Linked DNA regions of Canis lupus familiaris. The main gene of each other region encodes a partner of the protein of the gene in region 3 in a complex. Links are inferred from orthologs where the notes say so. Each region holds a gene or a part of one and is shown on either strand. Other genes may lie near its edges.

What was found.
Region 1: the proteins of TNFSF13B (region 3) and TNFRSF13C are in contact, whole or in part, in a crystal structure (PDB 1OQE), measured with the Homo sapiens proteins. The link is inferred for Canis lupus familiaris from reciprocal best matches to the Homo sapiens genes TNFSF13B and TNFRSF13C. Residues at the interface, in NP_006564.1 of Homo sapiens: Ser162, Tyr163, Asp203, Thr205, Tyr206, Ala207, Met208, Gly209, His210, Leu211, Thr228, Arg231, Cys232, Ile233, Pro264, Arg265, Glu266, Asn267, Ala268; in NP_443177.1 of Homo sapiens: Asp26, Leu27, Leu28, Val29, Arg30, Val33, Leu37, Leu38, Arg39, Pro41, Arg42.
Region 2: the proteins of TNFSF13B (region 3) and TNFRSF17 are in contact, whole or in part, in a crystal structure (PDB 1OQD), measured with the Homo sapiens proteins. The link is inferred for Canis lupus familiaris from reciprocal best matches to the Homo sapiens genes TNFSF13B and TNFRSF17. Residues at the interface, in NP_006564.1 of Homo sapiens: Ser162, Tyr163, Lys204, Thr205, Tyr206, Ala207, Met208, Gly209, His210, Arg231, Cys232, Ile233, Glu238, Pro264, Arg265, Glu266, Asn267; in NP_001183.2 of Homo sapiens: Tyr13, Asp15, Ser16, Leu17, Leu18, His19, Ile22, Arg27, Ser29, Ser30, Asn31, Thr32, Pro33, Pro34, Leu35.

The regions. Positions count from the first base shown.
Region 1 is NC_049231.1:24,385,892-24,393,134, forward strand, and holds TNFRSF13C (tumor necrosis factor receptor superfamily member 13C), read left to right. Parts: upstream 1-2,433; 5' UTR 2,434-4,507; coding exon 4,508-4,859; intron 4,860-5,200; coding exon 5,201-5,446; intron 5,447-5,775; coding exon 5,776-5,957; 3' UTR 5,958-6,448; downstream 6,449-7,243. UniProt on the Homo sapiens protein: B-cell receptor specific for TNFSF13B/TALL1/BAFF/BLyS. Promotes the survival of mature B-cells and the B-cell response.
Region 2 is NC_049227.1:31,132,231-31,139,377, reverse strand, and holds the start of TNFRSF17 (tumor necrosis factor receptor superfamily member 17), read left to right. Parts: upstream 1-3,378; 5' UTR 3,379-3,612; coding exon 3,613-3,730; intron 3,731-4,089; coding exon 4,090-4,221; intron 4,222-6,696; coding exon 6,697-6,974; 3' UTR 6,975-7,147. UniProt on the Homo sapiens protein: Receptor for TNFSF13B/BLyS/BAFF and TNFSF13/APRIL. Promotes B-cell survival and plays a role in the regulation of humoral immunity. Activates NF-kappa-B and JNK.
Region 3 is NC_049243.1:57,181,166-57,188,346, forward strand, and holds the start of TNFSF13B (tumor necrosis factor ligand superfamily member 13B), read left to right. Parts: upstream 1-2,854; 5' UTR 2,855-3,085; coding exon 3,086-3,442; intron 3,443-3,539; coding exon 3,540-3,627; intron 3,628-7,181. UniProt on the Homo sapiens protein: Cytokine that binds to TNFRSF13B/TACI and TNFRSF17/BCMA. TNFSF13/APRIL binds to the same 2 receptors. Together, they form a 2 ligands -2 receptors pathway involved in the stimulation of B- and T-cell function and the regulation of humoral immunity.

The DNA.
Region 1 (7,243 bases), on a different chromosome or scaffold from region 3:
TAGCCCTGCAAGGCCAGGCCCAGGGCTCCTGGCACCTGGTCATCCTCTGCTGTGTTAGGCCGCAGGCTCCTTGAGGCCTGGATCTGCCTCCCCGCCTGCTGACCAGGGGGGTTACTCCAGAGATGTGTGTGTGGTGGTAGCAGTGGGGGAAGAGCTCAGGGACTGAGGGGCCGCCTGGCTCGTCCCCGATCCTTCTGAGCCTGCTTTCCTCTCTGTGAAGAGGCAATCACGGTGCCATTTCCCCACAGGTTGAGGCGAGGGGTGTGGGCTCCTGCAGGGCACAGGGCCAGGCAGGCGGTCGGCCCGTGCTGGGCACTGCCGTTTCCTGGATGACTGTGCCATTCCCTGGGCCTTGGTCCTGGGGGGGTCACTCTCGCCTCCATCCCTCTGTGCCAAGATCTCACCAGGCCTTCCCTGACCCTCGGGCCCTCCCTGACACCCTTCCCTCCTGAATTTTTCTCCCCAGCACTTCTCAGACCCTCACCTACTATATGGTTTCCCCATTTGGATTTTGTCTCTGTCCTTCCCTGCCGTCTCCCCGGAATCTAGAACAGTGCCTGGTGCACAGCAAGTCTCCGTGAGTGAGTGGTGACTGAATGGAGGAGTCTGCTCTGGGTCCGCCTGTGCGTCAGCAGCCTGCAGGGAGACCAGAGCCCAGCCCTTGTCCCCACTGCTGTGGGGTGCCTTGAACGGGGCCTGAGGGAGGTGCAGCCCCTGGGGAGGCTCCCTGCTCTTCCGCCCCCCACCCCAGCCTTCGGCCTAGCCCCCAGGAGGTGCAGACTGTTCCCTGTGGCTGAGACGCTGAGGGTCGGGTCTGGGGTCTCCATTCTGATCTCACATAGACGGCCTGTGTCCCCCATCCCGGGGCCGTGTTCAGACCTGCTGGGGAGCCCTGCCCTGAGGCGTGCTGAACTGTGCACACGTGCATGTGTGTACGTGTGTGTGTATGGGCACATGGTGGGGGCGATGAGGGAGCTTGGGCCTGTGAAAACCTGGACAGGAGTTTTATAACCGCTTCATGGAAGGGGGTCAAGGGGAGAGGGTCTGGGGGCGCTCCAGCCTCACCAGGACTTCGTGTGGATCCTCTGCCTCTCCTGCCCCTGGTCCTGTCCCCACATTCTTCCCGCTGTCTCCCAGTGAGAGGGGCTTCCTCGCAGTGTCCTATTTGCCAGTGCCAAGTACATGAAAAAGGGGTCCCTGCCCTGGGGCCCCTGACCACTCCTGAGACAAAATACAACCAAATAGAAGGAGAGAGCTACGGGGCAGAGGAGGGCAGGGAAGTCCCCAGAGCAGCTCCCACTGTGTGGCCCCTTTGATGAATCACAGAACCTGTTTCCCCCCCAGGCACTTGCCTGACAATTTAAAGGCATGAAACAGGATGGGATGAAAAAGTAAAAAACCAGAACAGGCTCCCTCTGGGGACAGCAGGGAAATGCCCCTCCTTACTCATAGACTTCTGTATTGTTTGAGGGTTTTTTCATGAGAGTGTGTGCAGGTATTACAGAATTACAATTAAAAATGATGTTCACGTAAGGAGTGCGTCCTGGCGCTCCGAGCACTTTCACATCTAGGTCTGGGGAGCGGGGCCTCGGTCTCCCCCGGGAATGCCCCCCACCCTTCCCACCCCCGCTTAGCACCCAGCGTATCCCACCGGCAGCTTCCTCCTTGCCCCCGGCGCCAGCCCCAGCCCCAGGCATGAAGGGCACAGGCCCTATCCTGGCTCCCCCGAAGCTGGGTCATCCCTGGCCCCTCAGAGCCCCTGCCTCACCATCTGGAAACCCGACATCATAGCGCCGCCCGTGTCCGGACCATTGGGAGGGTGTTTTGGGGGGAATTTGAGGGACAAAGATCATCAGAGACTCCTTTTCCCCCGAAAGACCCCAAATTAGTTATCTTTGTAAAACACTTCATCAGTGAACGAGAACATGAGAACACCGAGTGACACTCCGTGAGATGGGGTTTCAGCAGCAAAGTCCCTTCTTTCCTACTCAGTACCTTTGAGGTGATGATACCAAAGTGTTTAAAACTATCAGGTTCCGGCCTGGCTCAGTCGGTGGAGCGTGAGACTCTTGATCTCGGGGTTGTGAGTTCAAGCCCCACGTAGGGTGTAGGGATTATTTAAAAAAGTAACATCATAGGGTGCCTGAGTGAGCGAGCATGAGACTCGTGATCCCGGAGTCCTGGGATCGAGTCTCACATCGGGGTCCCCACAGGGAACCTGCTTCTCCCCCTCTGCCCGTGTCTCTGCCTCTCTCTGTGACTCTCATGAATAAATAAATAAAATCTGGGCAGCCCGGGTGGCTCAGCAGTTTAGCGCCGCCTTCAGCCCAGGGCCTGATCCTAGAGACCTGGGATCGAGTCCCACATCGGGCTCCCTGCATGGAGCCTGCTTTTCCCTCTGCCTGTGTCTCTGCCTCTCTCTCTGTGTGTCTCTCATGAATAAATAAACAAAATATATATTAAAATAAAATCTTAAAAAAAGAAATAATAATCTTGACTTCAGAGATGTAACCCCAAATAAGGAATCTGCTGAGGATTTAACCTAACATTTATCACCTTGGTCTGTTGGGGAAATTTTTTTTAACTGTGAAGTCGGGATTCAAGGCCTCCCTCTGCTTCTCATTCAGGAGTCACAAGTGACAAGGTTTGTCCGGGGTCAGGCACCTGCACACACCACCGACGCTAATCGCACACGCCTTTCGCCATGGCCTGTCCCTGACGCGTGCCTTCCTGGGCCCTAGGAGGCCGCGGGTAGATCACCACTCTGCCCCTCTGGCTTGGGCCCCTGAAGGCCGCCTCCCCCGCTTTGTGCTGGAGCAGGTGCAGCTGCCACATAGAAGTGGCTCCTGTAAGTGACCCCAGACCAGCCCCATGGGCCACCCTCTCCCAGGGACACCATCCTCACTCCAGATTCCCACAAGACTCAGTCTGCTCGGCCCAACGGCGGCGTGAGGGTTAACGAGGTGCCTGGCCCCGTGTAAGGGCTCCCAGGCAATACTGGCACCACCAGTGATGGGGGTGGCGATTTGGCCCCCCCTCCTCTCTGGGCTCCCGGCCCCCCCACCCCCTCACCACACACCCACACTCACACCCACACCCACCACCCCAGACCCACTTCTCCTTTGCAGCTGCCCTGACGCCTACACCTTCCTGCCCTGGAGTTGTTGGGCCGTGGGCAGAGGACAGAGAGGCAGTGGGCCAGGGCTCCTGGATGCCGGCCCACCCAGGGGGCTGCTGGAGTCCCTCGAGCCAGAAACCCGGGGCCAGCCTTGCTCCCCTTGCACCACAGCATCACTCTTTGCTCCTAAACAGCTTCTAGATGGTTCCCCTGCTCTGGACCGTGGAGTCCTGTCTCCAACTCCACAGCAGCCAGAGACAGGGTCGCTTCTGCAGCACAGCTCAGAGCATCTCTCCCTGCGCTCTGGTAGGGGCTCCCCAGGGCCCAGGAGCCTGACGCGGAGGCCCAGAGCATCCCTGCCTCCCCTCCTCTGCAGCATCCCCTTGCCTGTCTCCAGACTCAGCTTCCCCCTCTTCCCCCTCTTTGCCTTTGCCCTCGCCAGCGCCAGCTTCTCTGCTGGAAGCGTTCTCTCCCCCCTCGAAGCTGCTGAATCTGCTCCTGCCCCATCCAGGCAGCCCCTGCCTCTGTGCTCCCCAGCCCTGAGCTGGGATGGCCGACCCCATCCCCGCCGAAGCTCTCTGCCAGCCCCTGCAGACGGCAAGGGAGGCAGGAGGGGCCTGTGTGTGTGTCTGAGGCTCAATCTGAGAGACACGGGTGACAGGCCAAACACCAGAGAGTAGAGACAGAAGGGACCCCAGTGAGACTCAGAGGTAGGCAGGCCAGGACACACACAGCCCTGGGACCCATGGGTCTTGGTCTGTCTGTTCATCTATTGATCGGAGTCTCTCCCTCCTGCCTCGGATCTGGGAACTGAGCTGTCTGTCCTCGGGCCCTCGGCCACCGTCTCCCTCCCCCCGCTGTGTCCTCTACTCCAGCCAGAGCTTCCCCACTGTCACCCAAGTCTGACTATGGTGCCGTCTGCTGAAAGCTCTGCGTGGTTCCCTGGCTCCTTAACCCTCAGCCACGAGTCCAGCCCAGCCCCCGGGCCCAGCAGTCTCTGGGCCCCATCTCTGTCCTCTTCCGTCAGTCATGCTCCCCTAGATCTCGCTGGGCAGACACCTTCCCACCATCCCGTCCTTTCCGAAGCCTTCCAGCCCCCTCCATGACTGCTGCCGTGAGGCGCTGTCTCCCCAGCACCCTGGGCACTCGGGAAGCCTTGTGAACCGAACCTGCTCTGCCTGGGAAGGGCTGGAAGGAGCCCCAGAGGGGGACCAGGTGGGGTGAGGAGGACACGGCTGGTGGGGGTTGTCTGGGGCTGTGGGCTGGCCTTGGGGAGCAGGACAGAGGAGGCCACCCAGAGGTCCTGACTGCAGGGGCCCAACCTCTACTGCCCAGGAGCGCGGGGTCTGCGCCCCAGCACAGGGCCAGCCCAGCAGTCGTCTGGAGGTGATGGTTGAGTGGTTGAATGGAGGAACCACAGGTAGAAAGAGAAGGTGTGGGGTGCGGGGCCTTGCGAGTGGTCCCACCCCAGCAGGCAGGAGGGTGGGGCGGGGCCCAGTGGGTGGCGGCCCCTCCCGGTTTCCTCCTCTGGGAGCCGAAGCCAGGCTCAGTCCCCCGCGAGCGAGCGCTGGGCACGGCAGCATGGGCAGCGACAGGAGAGGCGCGCGGGGCCCGCGGGGCAGGGGCGCGCGGGGCAGGGACGGGCCGGTCCCCACGCGCTGCGTCCAGGCCGAGTGCTTTGACCCTCTGGTCCGAAACTGCGTGGCCTGCAAGCTGCTCCGGACGCCAGAACCCAGACCGGGTAAGAGCCGACCCACTCAGCCAGCTGGTCAGCAGGGGTGCAGCCCTGGGAAGGAGGGGGGGCCCCCACCGCGCAACCTGCGGGAGCCGCAGGCCACCCGGGACGGGGGCGGGGGGCGGTGACTGGTTTGATGGGGGGCTGCAAGCGGGGCCTCGTGGGGACCGGCGGTCACCATGTGGCCCTCACCTCTCCCTCTCTTGCCCTTCCCCCGCCCCCCGCCGGCCCTCCCTCCCCTCCCCCGCCCCCCTCCCCGGGCCCAGCCTCGCCTCCCTCCGCCCCTCCCCCTTCCCGGCCGCCCCTCCCCTCCGCCCCCTGCGCCCCCTCCCCGTCCGCCCCGCCAGCAGCCGGGCCCAGCAGCCTGGCGCCCGGGACGGCGCTGCAGCCGCAGGAGTCGGTGGGCCCGGGGGCCGCCGCGGAGGCCGAGGCCGCGCTGCCGCTGCCCGCGCTGCTCTTCGGCGCCCCCGCGCTGCTGGGCCTGGCGCTGGCCCTCGTGCTGCTGGGGCTGCTGGGCTGGAGGTGGCGGCGGCGGCTGCGCGCGGCGGCTCCCCCGGGGGCCCCGGACCCGCGCCCGCGCCCGCACCCGCGCGGTAAGTTCTGCGGGGCGGGGGGCAGGGAGGCGGGGCCGGGGCGCTCGGGAGGGGTGCAGCGGCTCGGGCCGGTTCCCCGGGAGGGACGCAGCCCTGGCCCCGGAGCCGCCGGAGCCCCACACAGGAGGCCGCTTCTCCCTTCCGCCGGCGCTTCCCATCTGCACTTCCTGTCCCGAGGGCCCAGCACAGGCCGCCCGTCCCCATCCCTGCCGGGGCTTGGGGTTTTTCTCAGTCGGGGCGGTCCCTCCACTGAGGCTTCCAGAACAGGGGTGGGGAAAAGCTGTCAGCCTTCCTGACCTTGCCTTCCCTGCGCCCCCTCCCCCAACTAGAGACCCTGGACAATGTCATCATCGTCCCCCCGGGGCCCCTTGATGCGACAGCTCCCGTGTGGCCTCCGGCCGGAGAAGACCCAGCCAACACCCCGCCTGCCCACAGCGTCCCTGTGCCAGCCACAGAGCTGGGCTCCACCGAGCTGGTGACCACCAAGACAGCCGGGCCTGAGCAACAGTAGCGCCGGAGGGGCCAGGAGGTGGCCCCTGTCCTCCCTGTGGGCTGTCAGCCAGCGGCCTGGAGGGTGGACTCAGGTCTTCATCACAGGGGCCACCTGCCCCTCTTCTGGGAACCAGGCTGCTCCTCAGCTAACCCTGCAGAACCACAGACTACAGGCCGGCCACAGGGCTCGGCGGCACAGAGCCTTTGGCTTCAAACCAGACCATCTCTGGCAGCCCTGGAAGGTTGTGGCTGAGCTCCTGTGCTTTTGAGTGGTGGGGGCGCGTCGCGAAGGAGGTTTCTCTTTCAGTGCCAGAAAGCCACCGTAAACCAGAATGAATCTAGGAAGAGGATCAAGTGGGAGGATGCTTAATTTATAGCTGGGTGTTGTATTTCTTTAATACTTGCTCTCAGAGTTGTCCCGCTTTTAACTGAGGCGAATGACAACCACAAGTAACCAACTGACTGGTTTGCTTCAGGATCTAATACAAGATGATTTGATTTTAACAAGTAGCCTGGGTTGTGCTAATTCTCAGGTATCTGTACCCGAGGGTCAACCCTGAGCTTGGCCCAATCTTCTAGGACCTGCGATGCCATTTTCACCCTCGTAGCAGCTCCCAGAGCCCCAGGCTTGCGCTTGGGAGGAAGTCTGGAGCTCCTCTGGGGCTGAACTGCGCACTCATGCTGGAGGCACACTGCCAGGCATCTCTGTCAGAGGCCACCTGGAGTCCCAGCTGCCTTCAAGGCACACTCAGCTGTACTCAGGGAAAGGCCCAGGATCCTCCAGAGGCTCCTTTGTTCAGAGGCCAGAGCAGGCCTGTGGCCTTGAACCAGCCTGACCTGACATCCTTTGAGCTCCCTCTCTGTATGGCCTGCACTCCTCAAGCACTAGGTCCCAAGTGCCGTGGTCACTTGGCCATTCTCTGCCAGCCCCTGGGGTCACCCATCATCCTGGTGGATTTGGTCCTCTGACAACAGCACCCCTTGCTCTCAGAATTCGGGCGAGACCATCTCCTCCAGTGGGCCACGCCGTACTCGGTCAGGCGCTGCCTCTCCTGCTGGCCCTCCTACACGGAGTTAGAACCTCCTGACCCGGACACTCCTTGGAACGTGTTGTAGTTTAGCACTCTCAGGAGAAGCACGGACTAGGAGTCAGAAGATGGAGTTTGGGGTACCATTAGGGCCTTGGCCATGTGCTGTTCCATGCGTCAGCTGCCTTCTGCCCACCTGTCCCTGACCTGCCCTTCCCGCCCCCCCTTCTCAGCCTAGAAGATGGTCTGGAGCCCCCAAATCCTGATACCCACATTT
Region 2 (7,147 bases), on a different chromosome or scaffold from region 3:
AGAGAGAGAACTTGCAGGAGGGAGAGGCAGAGGGAGAGAGAGAAGCAGGCTCCCCGTGAACTAATACAGACCTAAATTTCTCTTCCCAAGTGAAAAATCTGTTAAAGCCCTTGGAAGAAACTGTGTACTTTTGATTTGAAGTTAAGAGCCAATGGTCAAAGTATTCTGCTGTGAAGACTTGATCGTAGTTTAATAATGTGGGGAGATGGAATCTTCCTTGCAGAGCAGGCTAATGGCTTTGGAAGTCTCAGGCAATGTCTCGGCTTCTTCAGAGCTTTAAGTGGGTGCAGAAGCTTGGGGCTGACTCAGGCATGGTTTTTCCTCCTGTTTGGGGTTTTTGTTTTTGTTTTGTTTTGGTTTGTTTTCCTGTATAGAGTGAAGTCAGACCTAGCAATGTTTTGGTGATGTTATTACATCAACAAACTCTGTCATGAAACTTTAAAATATTCTTATTTTAAATGTTGCTCTGCTAAGTCCCCAAATCACAGTCCTGGGGGGAATCATGGAGCTAATCTGGCTTCATCCTTCTCAAATTGTGTCTATGAAACATACATTCCTAAATGTTCATCGGTGGTCCCTGAAGAAAATGGGATTCCATGACAACGTAGGTTTGGTGGAGACAGCATACACTCTCTCCTTTTTGGAGAATCCAAATGTAGTTCGATGAGGTTTGAGGGGCCTCCTGACTTGGAAGTAGAGACATCAAGTAGACAATTGGTAGTTGGGTGTGGATTTCAGGGACAAGGTTGGAGTTGCACACATAGGTTTGGAAGTTAACACATTTAAAACCACAAACAGAGGGACGCCTGGGTGGCTCAGGGGTTTGGTGCCTGCCTTCGGCCTGGGGCTTGATCAAGTCCCAGAATCGAGTCCCATGTTGGGCTCCCTGCATGGAGCCTGCTTCTCTCTCTCTGCCTGTGTCTCTGCCTCTCTCTCTCTCTCTCTGTGTCTCTCATCAATAAATAAATAAAATTAAAAAACCCCCAAAAACCAAAAAACAAAACCAGAGACAGAGAAGAGATTATTTGGGAGATGGTTTGGAAGGAAGAGGTGCATGAAGTCCGGAGGTGCTGCAGCTCTCTTGTGACCAGGAAGGGGAGGACCCAAGAGTAGAAGATGAGATCAAGACCTGAGTTGAGACCAAGAGTTGGATGCTTAACCCACTGAGCCACCCAGGTGTCCTTACTTACTATTTTATTTATCAACACAGCAGAACAGATTACATACTTGCTCAGTAACTTGCATTTTCCACTCAGTTATGTATGGTTCACATCAGAACACATCTGGCACATTCTTTTTGATGGCGGTGTAGTATTCCACCGCGAGGCCCCATTGATGGACAGGCTTTTGTGAATACAAATGATGTAGCAGCAAACATCCTTGGGCACCTGACATCAGGCACCTGAGCAAGCTCATCTGTCAGAAGCAATTGTGCTTCCTTTCCTAAGAGTTGTCAAAGCTCTGTTCTTCTAGTTTCTACCCGTCTTCCCAAGCATGGCCCACATTGCCTGCTTCTCTTTCTCTCGACTCCATAAGTACTTACAGTATGGCTTCTTCCCACAAACATACCTAAAGGGCACTGGTGACCTCCTTCCTTAGGGCATCGCCTCTGACTTTTCTGTAGAATTTGACCTCACTGCCCATCCCATCCTGAAACTCTCCTCGCTTGGTTATCTTTGTCTTCCCATTTCTCTAAGCACGCTTTTCCTATGACCTTTGGCAGCCTCAATGTCTGGCAAGAGCTCGTGGGAGTGGAAGCTGCTGGGGCAGCCCTTGGGCTGTACCCACTGACCTCAGTGCCTGGACCCCAGAGGAATGGGAGGTTTTGATCAATATCTGAATCCACACTCTCTCTTAGGCTCAAACCCTTCACTTAAAAACCAAAAAAGTGTTGTATTTAACTCCCGCATTTTATGTTATTATCATCACTATTTTAATATTTATTATATACCATTTAAAAACTATGAAAAGGTGTAGGGACACCTGGGTGGCTCAGTCGATTTAACATCTGACTCTTGATATTGGTTCAGGTCTCTATCTCAGGGTTGTGAGTTTAAGCTCTCTGTTGGGCTCCAGGCTGGGTGCAGGGCCTACTAAAAAAAAGGTGTTGGGTGCCTGGGTGGCTTACTGGTTGAGCATCTACCTTTGGCTCAGGTCGTGTGATCCCGGGGTCCTGGGTTCAAGTCCGCACCATGCTCCCCTCAGGAAGCCTGCTTCTCCCTCTGCCAGTGTCTCTGCCTCTCCCTTTATTTTTTAAATAAAATCTTTTTAAAAAGTGTCAATAATAACAAAGAATACAACAAAAGAATAACACAACAAATACCAATGTATCCACCATTTGGCTTCATAAAATATGACCAACACAACTGGAGGCTCTTTTGTACCCTCCCTGCACCTCAGAGATATCCAGAGATAATCACTGTACTGAATGCGGAGTTTGTCATTCTCTCACATTTTAACTGAGTCCTGAATTTCTGGCTGACCTCTCTGGATATCTCTCTATGGGGATCCCATTCAGTATGGTGAAAAGCAAATGCAAGTGATTCCATTTATATAAAAAGGAAAATGTGCTCTATACATCTACCTATCATCTATCCTTAGAAATCCTTCCAGAAATATCTATATTGGGGTTGACCAAACAGAACACGGCAGCAGGCCTTTCTTCACACTTCTGTGATACATCCAAATATAGTTTACCTATCTGCTCATTTGTGTTTTCTAAATTTTAAAAAAGATTTTATTTATTTATTTATTCATGAGAGACACACACAGAGGCAGAGACACAGGCAGAGGGAGAAGCAGGCTCCCTGTGGGAAGCCTGATGTAGGACTCAAACCTAGGACCCCGGGATCATGCCCTGAGCCAAATGCAGACGCTCATCTACTGAGCCACCCAGGTGTCCGCCCTTGTTTCTAAATTTTCAACAGTGGAGCATGGATGACTTGACTATGAATGCCCCAAACCTATCTTCCCTGAAACCCTCTTACTAACTGAGCTTTAACCCCAGAAGTCCTTATTTCTGTTGGAATTCCATAGTTCTTCATAGGTGTGAAACCTGGCAGGCATGCTTGATGCCCCTTTCTCTCTTTCTCATTCCTTCAGTGGTTGAGTGGATTTCTATTGCCCCCGTTAGATTTTAAGTTCTTAAGGGGGTTCAGACCTTATGTGTCTCTCTGGGGGCCTATCACACTGCACAGCTCGTGAACAGATGGTCCCAAAGCGGTTATCGAACCTTCCTGCCTGAGGCTTCGGGCTAGTCTACACCTTGCAACTGTCACCTGGATTATTTATAGAAATTTCCTCTATAAATAGACAGTTTCTGTTTCAGGTATGGTTTGCTCTTGATATTTACGCTTTGATCTCTTACCCTCCCCGGGCCTCAAACTTAGAAACCGGAATTGGAGCTGGTATTCAAATCCTTAGTCGAAGTACAAAGAGCGCCCAGAAGAACTAAATCATAGTTGTGAAGTTCTTTTTCTTTTTTTTTTTTTTCGCATCGACATTCTAACTGCTGTCACTACATTTGCTGGGGAATTCCTGACGAGATTTTACTTGTCCTTCCATGCTGTTCTTTCTGGGGCTTTCTTGTTTTTCTTTGTGATCAAGTTCCAGATGGCTCAGCAGTGCTTCCAAAATGAATATTTTGACAGATTGCTTAATGCTTGCAAACCATGTCACCTTCGATGCTCTAATACCCCTCCGGTACCATGTCAGCATTATTGTAATGCAAGTAAGTAATCCTGCTTGAACAACTCATTCGTTGGTGTAACCTATTTTCTCTACTTTGACTACTTATTCAAAGAGTAAAAACATTGCGGGGAAGATGGTGAGGTCTTCTGTATCAAAAAGAGAAAGGAAACAAGGCAAGTATTTGAATGCCAATGGGACCAAAGTAATTACTCAGAATTGAGCTCAATTTGATGCAGTGCTGTTAGCAACATGGATTTTTATCAACTCTTCTAATTAAGTGTTATTTAGGATTTACGAGTCAGTGCTGATGAATTAGGGGAATTGGATGGCAAATAATCTTTACTTGATGTGGATATTATGTTGTCAGTTCATTATCTCTCTGATATTCTTTTAATTCAGTGAAAGGAACAAATGCAATTCTCTGGACCTGTTTGGGCCTGAGCTTGATAGTTTCTTTGACCATTTTCGTGTTTATGTTCTTGCTAAGGAAGATGAATTCTGAACCATCAAAGGACGAATGTAAAAACACAGGTTGGTTGAATGGTCAGACTTTGGAATCTATTTCCAAGAGGTGGCTATTGTGATTTGAGTTCCTTCTCTTCTTTTTTCCTGTTGAGTTATTTCTTTGGTTAGAGCCCTTTCGAGCGTGTTAGAGGACGGTTGTATTAAATGAACTTTGGGGCAGGAGCGAGCTGTCTTCTTTTTGGTGTTTGTCTCTTCTTTATAGGTGCCCCACAGAGTTAGCCTTCCCCTATAGTTTTCCCTCAGTAATTACTCTTCTGAGGTACTGGGCTTCCTTGGCAAACATCCATCTCTTTGACCAAAGTTAGCACATTGATTAAACGTTTACTTACTCTCAAGAAACTGCAAGCTCGGTCTGCTACTATCAGGAAAAATGTATTTGGCAAGATCCATGGCCTTATTTTTAATACAAATGTAAACATTTTTTGCTTGGTGAATATTTTACTGCCCCCAAAATGCTAGAAATGAATAGAACCAGTTGTTCCTGGATTATTTGAGCAGTCATTTTAAAGATCATTATCTTTATTAAGCAGCAGAGAACCAGTCTGAGAGAAGTGAATGTTCTACTTAAGGGCTTTTTAAGATAAAAATATTTCAGCAGCACCTTTGCCCATGATCTGATTTCCCAAATGCTTTGCAGCCTTTGGCCTATTTCTGATGCATTTATTTTCCATGTATAATCTGTAAAGCACCCCCCTCATTTGTCTTCTCATTTGCAGAAAAGGGAGGTAGATGGCTGTTCCACATAATTTACTCATTTTTCTTTTCTCATTTTCTTTCTTTCTTTCTTTCTTTCTTTCTTTCTTTCTTTCTTTCTTTCTTTCTTTCTTTCTTTCTTTCTTTCTTTCTTTTTCTTTTTTTTCTTCTCTTTATTTTTGCCTGGGGTCTGAGAAACAGGTGGGGAATGACTTTAAGTGTGACATTTTGGAAGATGGAGTTATTCTGTGGCAGGTTGGGGAAGTAGTAAAACTTACCTTCACTGACATATAAATGGGGACATAACAGAGACTCCTTCCATACATGATCACAAAAAAATTCATTCTAAAATTTCTTTAAAAAAGATTTTACTTATTTATTAGAGACATAGACACACACACACACACACACACACACACACACACGCAGAGGGAGAAGCAGGCCCCATGCAGGGAGCCCCATGCTGGACTTGATCCCAGGTCCCCAGGATCACACCCTGGGCTGAAGGCAGCGCTAAACTGCTGAGCCGTGGGGGCTGCCCAATATAAAAAATTTTTGATATGATACCAAATGGTCTGTAAGAGAAGTATCCTTACTTTGAATTCTAAAGTGTCCCCCAAAGGCTCATTTTGTGTGTAACATACGGTAATCTGTCATTTCCACAAGTGTAAAATAGAGCCCATAACTTAATGCCTTCAAGGGCCAAGTGGGTAACCAGTGAATGTAGCGGGCCATGTGGAGGTTTCAACAGTTGAATAGCCAGGGCCCTTCCTCAAGGAGACAGCGGCTATTGACTTCAGGCAATTGTTTCCATGGAGGAAGGTTAGCTATTTGTTGTTTTTTTGAAAGAGACCAATTACCTAGATTTGCACATCAAATCCCTTGAAGGCTTTTTTTTTTTAATCTCTTGATTTTTATTTTTTTTAAAGATTTATTTATTTATTTATTCATTCATTCATTCATTCATTCATTCATTCATGATAGACAGAGAGAGAGAGAGAGAGAGAGAGAGAGAGGCAGAGGGAGAAGCAGGCTCCATGCGGGGAACCGATGCGGGACTCGATCCTTGGACTCCAGGATCGTGCCCCAGGCCAAAGGCAGGCGCTAAACCCCTGAACCACCCAGGGATCCCTAAATCTCTTGATTTTTAAACGTGGACCAACAGGGGGCACCTGGGTGGCTCAGTGTTTGAGGATCTGCCTTTGGCTCAGGTTGTGATCTCTGGGTCCTGGGATCCAGTCCCGCATTGGGCTCCCTGTAGGGAGGGAGCCTGCTTCTTCCTCTGCCTGTATCTCTGCCTCCCTCCTTGTGTCTCTCATGAATAAATAAATAAAATCTTAATAAATAAATAATAAGGGATCCCTGGGTGGCTCAGAGGTTTAGTGCCTGCCTTCGGTCCAGGGCGTGATCCTAGAGTCCCGGGATCGAGTCCTACGTCGGGCTCCCGGCATGAAGCGTGCTCCTCTGTCTGCCTCTGTCTCTGCTTCTCTCTCTCTCTGTGTCTCTCATGAATAAATAAATAAAATCTTTAAAATAAATAAATAATAAATAAATAAATAAACAAACAAACGGAGGCCAACACAGCATATAAGCAAACACTTAAAAACACTGTATGGGCCTAAACAAAGTCCAATGTGGCCTATGGTCAGTTCCTGACTCCCAGTGCAGGACATTTGTTTTGTAGGAGATCTGTCTCCATTGCTTTGGGCCCTAAGGTGTCCTGCTAAGACTGCCAGGACGGCACCACCTGGGAAGTTGAGGTTGATCGTTCTGTTTCTACACAATCAGGATCGGCTCACCAGAACGAGGCGGATGCTGACCAGGAGAAGGGCCGTGATAGCAGGACCAGCGAGGAAGTTCTCTCGAGGGGCCTGGAGTACACAGTAGAAGAATGTACCTGTGAAGACTGTGTCAAGAGCAAATCAAAGGTGGATTCTGACCATTTCTTTCCACTCCCAGCTATGGAGGAAGGTGCAACCATTCTTGTCACCACGAAAACAAGTGACTACTGTAATAGCCTGCTGGCCAGTGTCACAGAGATGGAGAAATCCATTTTTACCAGATGATTAACCATTTCAACTGGTCAGAGCTGCTTTGAGAATCTTAACGTCAGAAGGAGTAATCTCTTTAGGATGATTGTACTTATCAGTTGCGGATAGAGCTTTTTGTCCTGATTCTAGAAAATCTTTATGTTAGATGTACTTCCCTACCTTATTGTTGGGAGCTTACCTGTGGAAAT
Region 3 (7,181 bases):
CACACCCTTGGATAAACTCATAACTTAAATTCTTTTCACCTATACTCTTACATGTTCCTATCTGCCCAGTCCTGAGTGGATGGGACAAGCAATACGGATTCATTTATTACAAGTGGTGTAGCTGTGATACACGGGAATATTTTCTATTTCAGGTGAGGAAAAAAAAGTAGGTAAGAAGTAGCTGCATCCTGGCAGAGAGCACTCTGTGGCTCAGGTATGGTAGCTTCCTTCCCTGAATAAACTTGTGGTGTGGGGTGTTATTCAATGAGTGGCAAGCTATTTGTTTAACAGAATTTCAGTTAAATTATTGTCAAGACATTTCCTCAGCAGGAAACAGATCCTTGATTTATGGAGTAGTAACTTCCTTTTGTTCCTCTAATAAGAAATTCAGGAGCACATGAATGCTGCTTGGTTTCCACTTGTCTTCAGAGAAATTTGGTCGTGTGATCACTGTGAAGGATGTGCACATGGCAGTAGCCGTGAGCCTCACATCTGGGTCAGGGGAAGCCACCGGCCTGCCGCCTTCTGTGGAAGAAGCACCAGCCCTCTCTATGCTTAGGGCTGCCCACCACTTGATCCAAGATGAGACACTTGTTTTAAACTGACCTACACATAGGCTGGTCAGTGGTACTCTCTGAAGACAGTCGGCCATGAAGGTGTCTATCCAAAAGAGCAATGAAGGCAGAACTAATTCTCTAACGCAATCGAACTATTCCCCCTCTCTGCAATTTTTACAGCAGCATATGGACAAGAGTGTCCCACCAAAAGTGGAAGAAAGTCAACTCACAGAAAGAAGCGGTGGCTACAAGTGTCCTGAGTAAAAGCACAGAGCGATGAATTTCTAGCACTGCCTCAAATTCTTTTATTCCATATGTCTTTGGGTAATATTAACACACACACATAAACCTGAGTGAGCTTCCCTTACTTTCAGTCAGAAGGGTTTAGTATAATCCCCAAACTGATTCTTTCTTTTCTTTCCTTTTCTTTTCTTCTTTCTTTCTTTCTTTCTTTCTTTCTTTCTTTCTTTCTTTCTTTCTTTCTTTCTTTCTTTCTTCTTTCTTTCTTTCTTTCTCTTTCTTTTCCTTTTCTTTTCTTTTCTTTTCTTTTCTTTTCTTTTCTTTTCTTTTCTTTTCTTTTCTTTTCTTTCTTTTCTTTTTTTCTTTTTCTCTAGTGTATGTCCCCCTGATTGGCCTGGAAGCAAGAACTATGACAGAAGACGTGTATTACGTGACATCTGACACAAAGGAGTCTGCTCACGCACTCACCTGAGAGATCGGAGAACAGCTGCTTTGGGCGGCCAAGGTAATCTTCAAAAGAACTTTTTAGAGGTGTTATTTTTTTTTTCCAAGTTCTGTAAAAGTCATTTAACAAGGTCTTAGAACTCACAGACATAAAGGAACCTAGCAGGTAAAAATGAGTGTCTGGTGACGTCACCCCTCGTGAGCCGGGGAGGAAGCAGGAACTCCTCAGGGAGGCTGCTCTGTGACTCCTGACAGAGGTGAAGATGTGCTGACACCCTAGCAGGTGTCTCCCGGGGAAATCCCTGCAGACATTCCAAGGAGACCCGCACGAAGACGTCTGTGATGGTGCCATTTGTAATAAAGAAAAATAGTTCATGTCATGAGTGAAAATGGATGAGAAATGGAAGCATATTAAATCTAGTTTGTCCTGGTTCCTATAAGCCCTGTTACAGTTCCCAAGGACCCTTACCATCCCATTTCACAGACAGAAAACCGAATCCCAGACACACCATGTGTTTTGACCAAGGAGAGTGAGGATTCACACCCTGGCTCTGGAGCTCCTACCCTCACTTACGTTATTTCTGTGACTTTCCTTTTGAAGCTGGCATAGGGACATCATGTGAGACAGAGCTAGCGCTCCAGTCGTGGCACATGGAGGACTCAGGCCCAGCCAGGCCTTGGCAATTGCTCAGTAGCATTTGTTGAAGTGTGAGCTCCTGACACAACATGCAGGTCCTAGGAGCCGAGCAGCCAGACCCCAGGAAGTACTCAGGAGCTAGCCATCAAGACGTGTCTTGGCGGCAAGACCACATCCAGCAGCCATGATTTGGAGCTACCATGACTCTGGGCTGAATCAGGTTGTTCACAGACACAGTAGATTGGGGCAGGGTCAACCTAATAAGGACCAGTAGATTAGCTGCTTTAGGGAAAGAGCACTTAGTTCATGGTGGGCTGGACTGAGGCACTTGGAGCTGGAGATAAGGCCAGTTTTCCCAGATGCTGTCGGCCTGAGCGGACACTTGGAGCTTAGTGGGAGTGCTTCCCAGCTTGGCCGTCCTGTGCGTGGCTGCCTGCCGGGCAGTGAGTCCCAGAAGGAACGCAGTACACATGTTTCCCTTCAAAATGCATCCCCTGCATATAAAGAAGCCCTCATGTGTAATCTAACTACATCCCCCAAATTTAGTCACATTCTTTTTATCTCATTGCTAAGATAATAATAAAAAGAATATTCCCCAGTGGATGTCTGTGCCTCCCCTGAGGAAATCTCGTTTTATTTCCTACTCTGAAACTGTTCATAAATCATTCTCCAGCTGAGTACAGTTCAGTGCTAGTACTTAGCTTATCTGACCTTCGCATTAATTATTTTTATTACAGCAGCAGGAACGTCAGTGTGTTTTCCCCTGCCCTCCGAAGCCATGTGGCCCCGAGCAGAGTGGCTCCCGTCCTGCCACCGGCGGCTCCTCCGGTACCTGTCCAGCTGTCCCAAGTGTACCAGCTCAAACCCCATGTCCTGTCATACCAATGGATGCCCGAGGCCCGTTTGTGTGTGTGTGTGTGTGTGTCTTAGATGCGATTAAAATTCTTACAAAAACTGAAAGTGAAATGAGGAAATGATTGGGCAATCGAATAGAAGGGCCAGTGCCAGGAAGACCTATCATACCGGGGGGGCCCCGCGATGCGGCCAGGCAGACGGAGGGAAGCTCAGGAGAGCTCTCCTGAGGGCGACCACGGGGCCAGGCCATGTAGTCCGTGTAGGACATGAGCAAGCACAGCTCACAGGAAATGATCCGGTCCCTGCGCTCACTTACTCGAAAGGTCCAAACCTTCAAAGTTGCGGGAGTGCCATGGATGGCTGCACAGAAGGCCAGCAGTCACGCCTTTCTCCTTGCCTTGAGAGGGGAGAAGAAATGAAACTGAAGGAGTGTGTCTCCATCCTCCCCCTGAAGGAAAGCCCCTCTGTCCCATGCTCCAAAGATGGAACGCTGCTGGCCGTGACCCTGCTACTGGCCCTGACGGCCTGCTGCCTCTCCGTGGTGTCTTTCCACAGGGCGGCTGCCTTGCAAGCGGAGCTGGGGAGCCTCCGGGCGGAGCTGCGGGAACAGCACGCTGAGCCTGAGCGGCTGCCAGGCCCTCCGCAGGCCAGAGCCAGGGCCCCCAGGGCAGCCATGCGGGAGACCCCAGCTGTCACCTCAGCTCTGAACGTGAGTTTGCAGCAGCTGCGGCCCCAGGTTTGCCCCGCACCACTGCCCCCCACACCTCAGATATCTTTGCAATAACTTGGGGTTTTTCTCTCCTTAGGGAATCTTGGCACCATCCGCTGCAGGAGAAGGCAACTCCAGCCAAAGCAGCAGAAACAAGCGTGCCATTCAGGGGCCGGAAGAAACAGGTAAGTTTTGGGTGCAGAAGCATTTGGGAGCCAGGGAGCCTGGCATCCACAGGTGTGGAGGCTGGCCTCTGCTTTGAGGTCCCGAGAGTTGATTGATCAGTACTCAAAGACTGTGAGAGGTGCATTTACACCAGATGTGGCTTTAGGGCACAGCCTGTGCATTGGCACATTGATGAGCCTGCACGCCACGTTTTGTCCTCCAATGAGCATAGTGAGGGCCCTGCTGTCCTGGCAGCATAAAGGATGAGAAAGAGCCCAGAGTCTTCCTCCAATAGATCGTGCCTGTGTTGGAAACAGTGTCCATCACTCCAGCAGGAAAGCGCTTCAGGTCAGTATAGGTTCTGTCTACCTGAGTCATGGACAGTCAGGTAAAGGTAAACACTTCCTGAGGGCACCTTGTGTGCCATGCAGCCCAGTGAAGCTCCTGTTGGGAGCAGGTGTGTGTTTGTGATTTGTTTATTGCTGTAGTTCTAAAAAAGTTCATTTTACACACACACACATGCACACACGCACGCATGCATGCGTATACACACAGATTTTAAAGCTTTTCTTTAATGCTTTTCCAGGAACTTTTCCAGGAAGAGTTCTTTCATGATTGCTGCCTTTCTTTCTGTCCCACTTATTCCACAGTCTTAGAGATTCCAGAAACCTTGGATTGGGCAGAGCTTCCCCAAATGTTTGATTCTAGTTCCTGCATTTCAACGATGAAAAAGAGCATTACATTCATTCAATAATATCACAACTTAAACAATCCCTGGTATCATTCCTTTTCTTTTCTTTTCTTTTCTTTTCTTTTCTTTTCTTTTCTTTTCTTTTCTTTCTTTTCTTTTCTTTTCTTTCTTTTTTTTTCTTTTCTTTTCTTTTCTTTTCTTTTCTTCTTTCTCTTTCCTTTTTTTGAAAGAACACGTTTTGAGCAAACAGCATGGGCCTGCTTGGCGCATGCTGGGATAGTTATTGTCACGGCTACCATTTCCTTAAGTCCTCACGTTGGCCTTGAGGTGAGCAGAACAGGTGTAGTTCTGTACATATGTATTTGTACTTGTGGAGGGAAGCACATGACTTAGAGACTAGGTGTTCTTCCGTCAGACCACACACACACACTCACACACATTAGGTGCTTTGGCTGGAAATGTATTCACTAACTGCCTTATTCATGGAAAGAAAATTCTTACCTCTTCCTTAAAACCATAATTTTCTACATATGCTTTGTGTCAAGTATCAGAAACAGTTGGGTTTAAATATATATAAACTAGGAAATGTGAGTACTTTTACTATACTTTAACACATGAATTATTTTCATACTTTGCAATTTTATCATATGTATTTCCTACCTAACTGAAAAAATACAGCATATATACTATGGATTTATTTTTGTGTTCACTTATCATTATGCAATAAGCATTTTCCCTACTACTAAGTTATTCTCACACATCCATGTTAGTTTCCTGTCACACAGTTATTTAACATGACCATTTCCAAAACTTTTGTGCAGATTTCTTTTTTCTTTTTTCTTTTTTTTTTTTTTTAAGATTTTACTTATTTATTCATGAGAGACACACACACAGAGAGAGAGAGAGAGGCAGAGACACAGTCAGAGGGAGAAGCAGGCTCCACGTGGGACTCGATCCTGGAACTCCAGGATCACATCCTGGGCCGAAGGCGGCGCTAAACCGCTGCACCACCTGGGCCACCCTCTTATTTCTGATGAATTACATGTTCCAAAGAAAGAATATCAGAAATAAAGAGGATAAACATCTTTATCACCCTTACTCCCTTTTGCCATGTTGCTTCCAAAATGAATTATAAATGTATTGTAGTCAGAAATGCACTGTACAAGTTCTCCACATTCTTAGTGTTTTATCTTTTAAAATTTATGTTGGCTAGCTTGGTAGTTGTAAACAGTATCTCAAATGTAATTTGTTATTTGCTTACAAATAAGAATTTCTGCGTATTTACATAACTTCTAATTTTATCTTCTGCTAATTTTTATTTATAACTTCCCTCATTTGTCCTAATTCTTTGTGATTTGAATGAACTATATTAAACATTCTGTTTATCAAAATTTTGCTGTAAATATCTTCCCAATATCTTGCTTATTTAAAATGTGTACAGAGATTTTACATCTGTGTATGTAATATGATAAACTTTTCCTTCTGATCTCTGTCATACGTTAAAGCTAAAAATGTATTTCTTCATAATTTCTTACATAGCCTATTCTATTCTCTACCACTTTGACTTGTTTACAACTTTGTGTTTTAGTTTGCTGTTATTTAACTCCTTAATCCTCCTGGCATTCATTTGGTAGATCATGTCTACTAGCTTTAACTTACCCTTTCTTCTTTAATTTTTTTCCTTCTAAATTATTCCTAATATCTCAACTAAATTTATTAGATGATTCTTTTTAACTTGTTTGCATTGGAAAGCTTACTGTGTTGTATTAAGTTTCTCACATATAGTTGAATCTATTTTGAGACATTTTCATTGATTTATTATTCTTTTTATCTGTATTAAATAAAATATGTTAAGTATTTTGTAATATAATGAGCTTTAATATCTCATAGAGTCAGAATGTTTCAATCTTCTTCAACCTCCGTGCTAGTATCCTCCAGTCTCTGCACATTAGGTTTATGAATAATCCTTAACTTTACCATTGCAAAAGAGCTGCAAAGGGCTCATTATAGCAGGTTTAAGAAGAAACGACATTGAATAAGAAATTAATTAACTCCCAGAGTCCCACTTCCATAAATACCCTCTATTATATTTAAATTTTCCTCCTATGTGCAAAATTTTACAAATTTGTGATTCTATGGCATCCAAAAATCATATACTGATTAAAAATTTTCTCTAAATAAATTTGTAATTTTTAGAAAGTTTGGAAAGTAACAAAAAATTGTATCAAGTGAATAAAAATTTACCCAGTTTCCACAGCCCAGATATAACTGCTATTTTCATAATCATAATTTGCCTGAGATTTTCATAGACCTTTTATATAGTATATATATAGTATATATATAGACCTTTTATATAGTATATATGTATGTATATATACATTATATATATATATTAGTATAGGTATATATAGTATGTATATAAATATATCAAATATGTATAGATAACATATATATGCAATAAATAGTACCCCCCATATATATACACACTAACACTCATAACGTCCATAGATCTGAGAGGAGATCTCCTCTCCTTGAAGAGGAGGACCTCAGTTACAGGTCATATCTGCTATTCCTCATTGGTGAAACTGGCTTGAATGTCATTTTAGATGCCATCCTTCTGTGCAGGGAAAATGTAATTTGCTTAGTACTACAAGAGTAATGTGTATGTAACCAAGAGGGTTGTCTGGAACTCCTTGACTCCTTTCTTTCTTTCTTTCTTTCTTTCTTTCTTTCTTTCTTTCTTTCTTTCTTTCTTTCTTTCTCTGTTTGGTAATGTCCTTTCTTTGGAGTTGAGAAAATTCTGTATAATTTGAATCTATGCAACTTTCTTTGTTTTTGTTTGTTTCTATTCTAGTTCTGATTTTTTTTTAAGATATTTGTTTA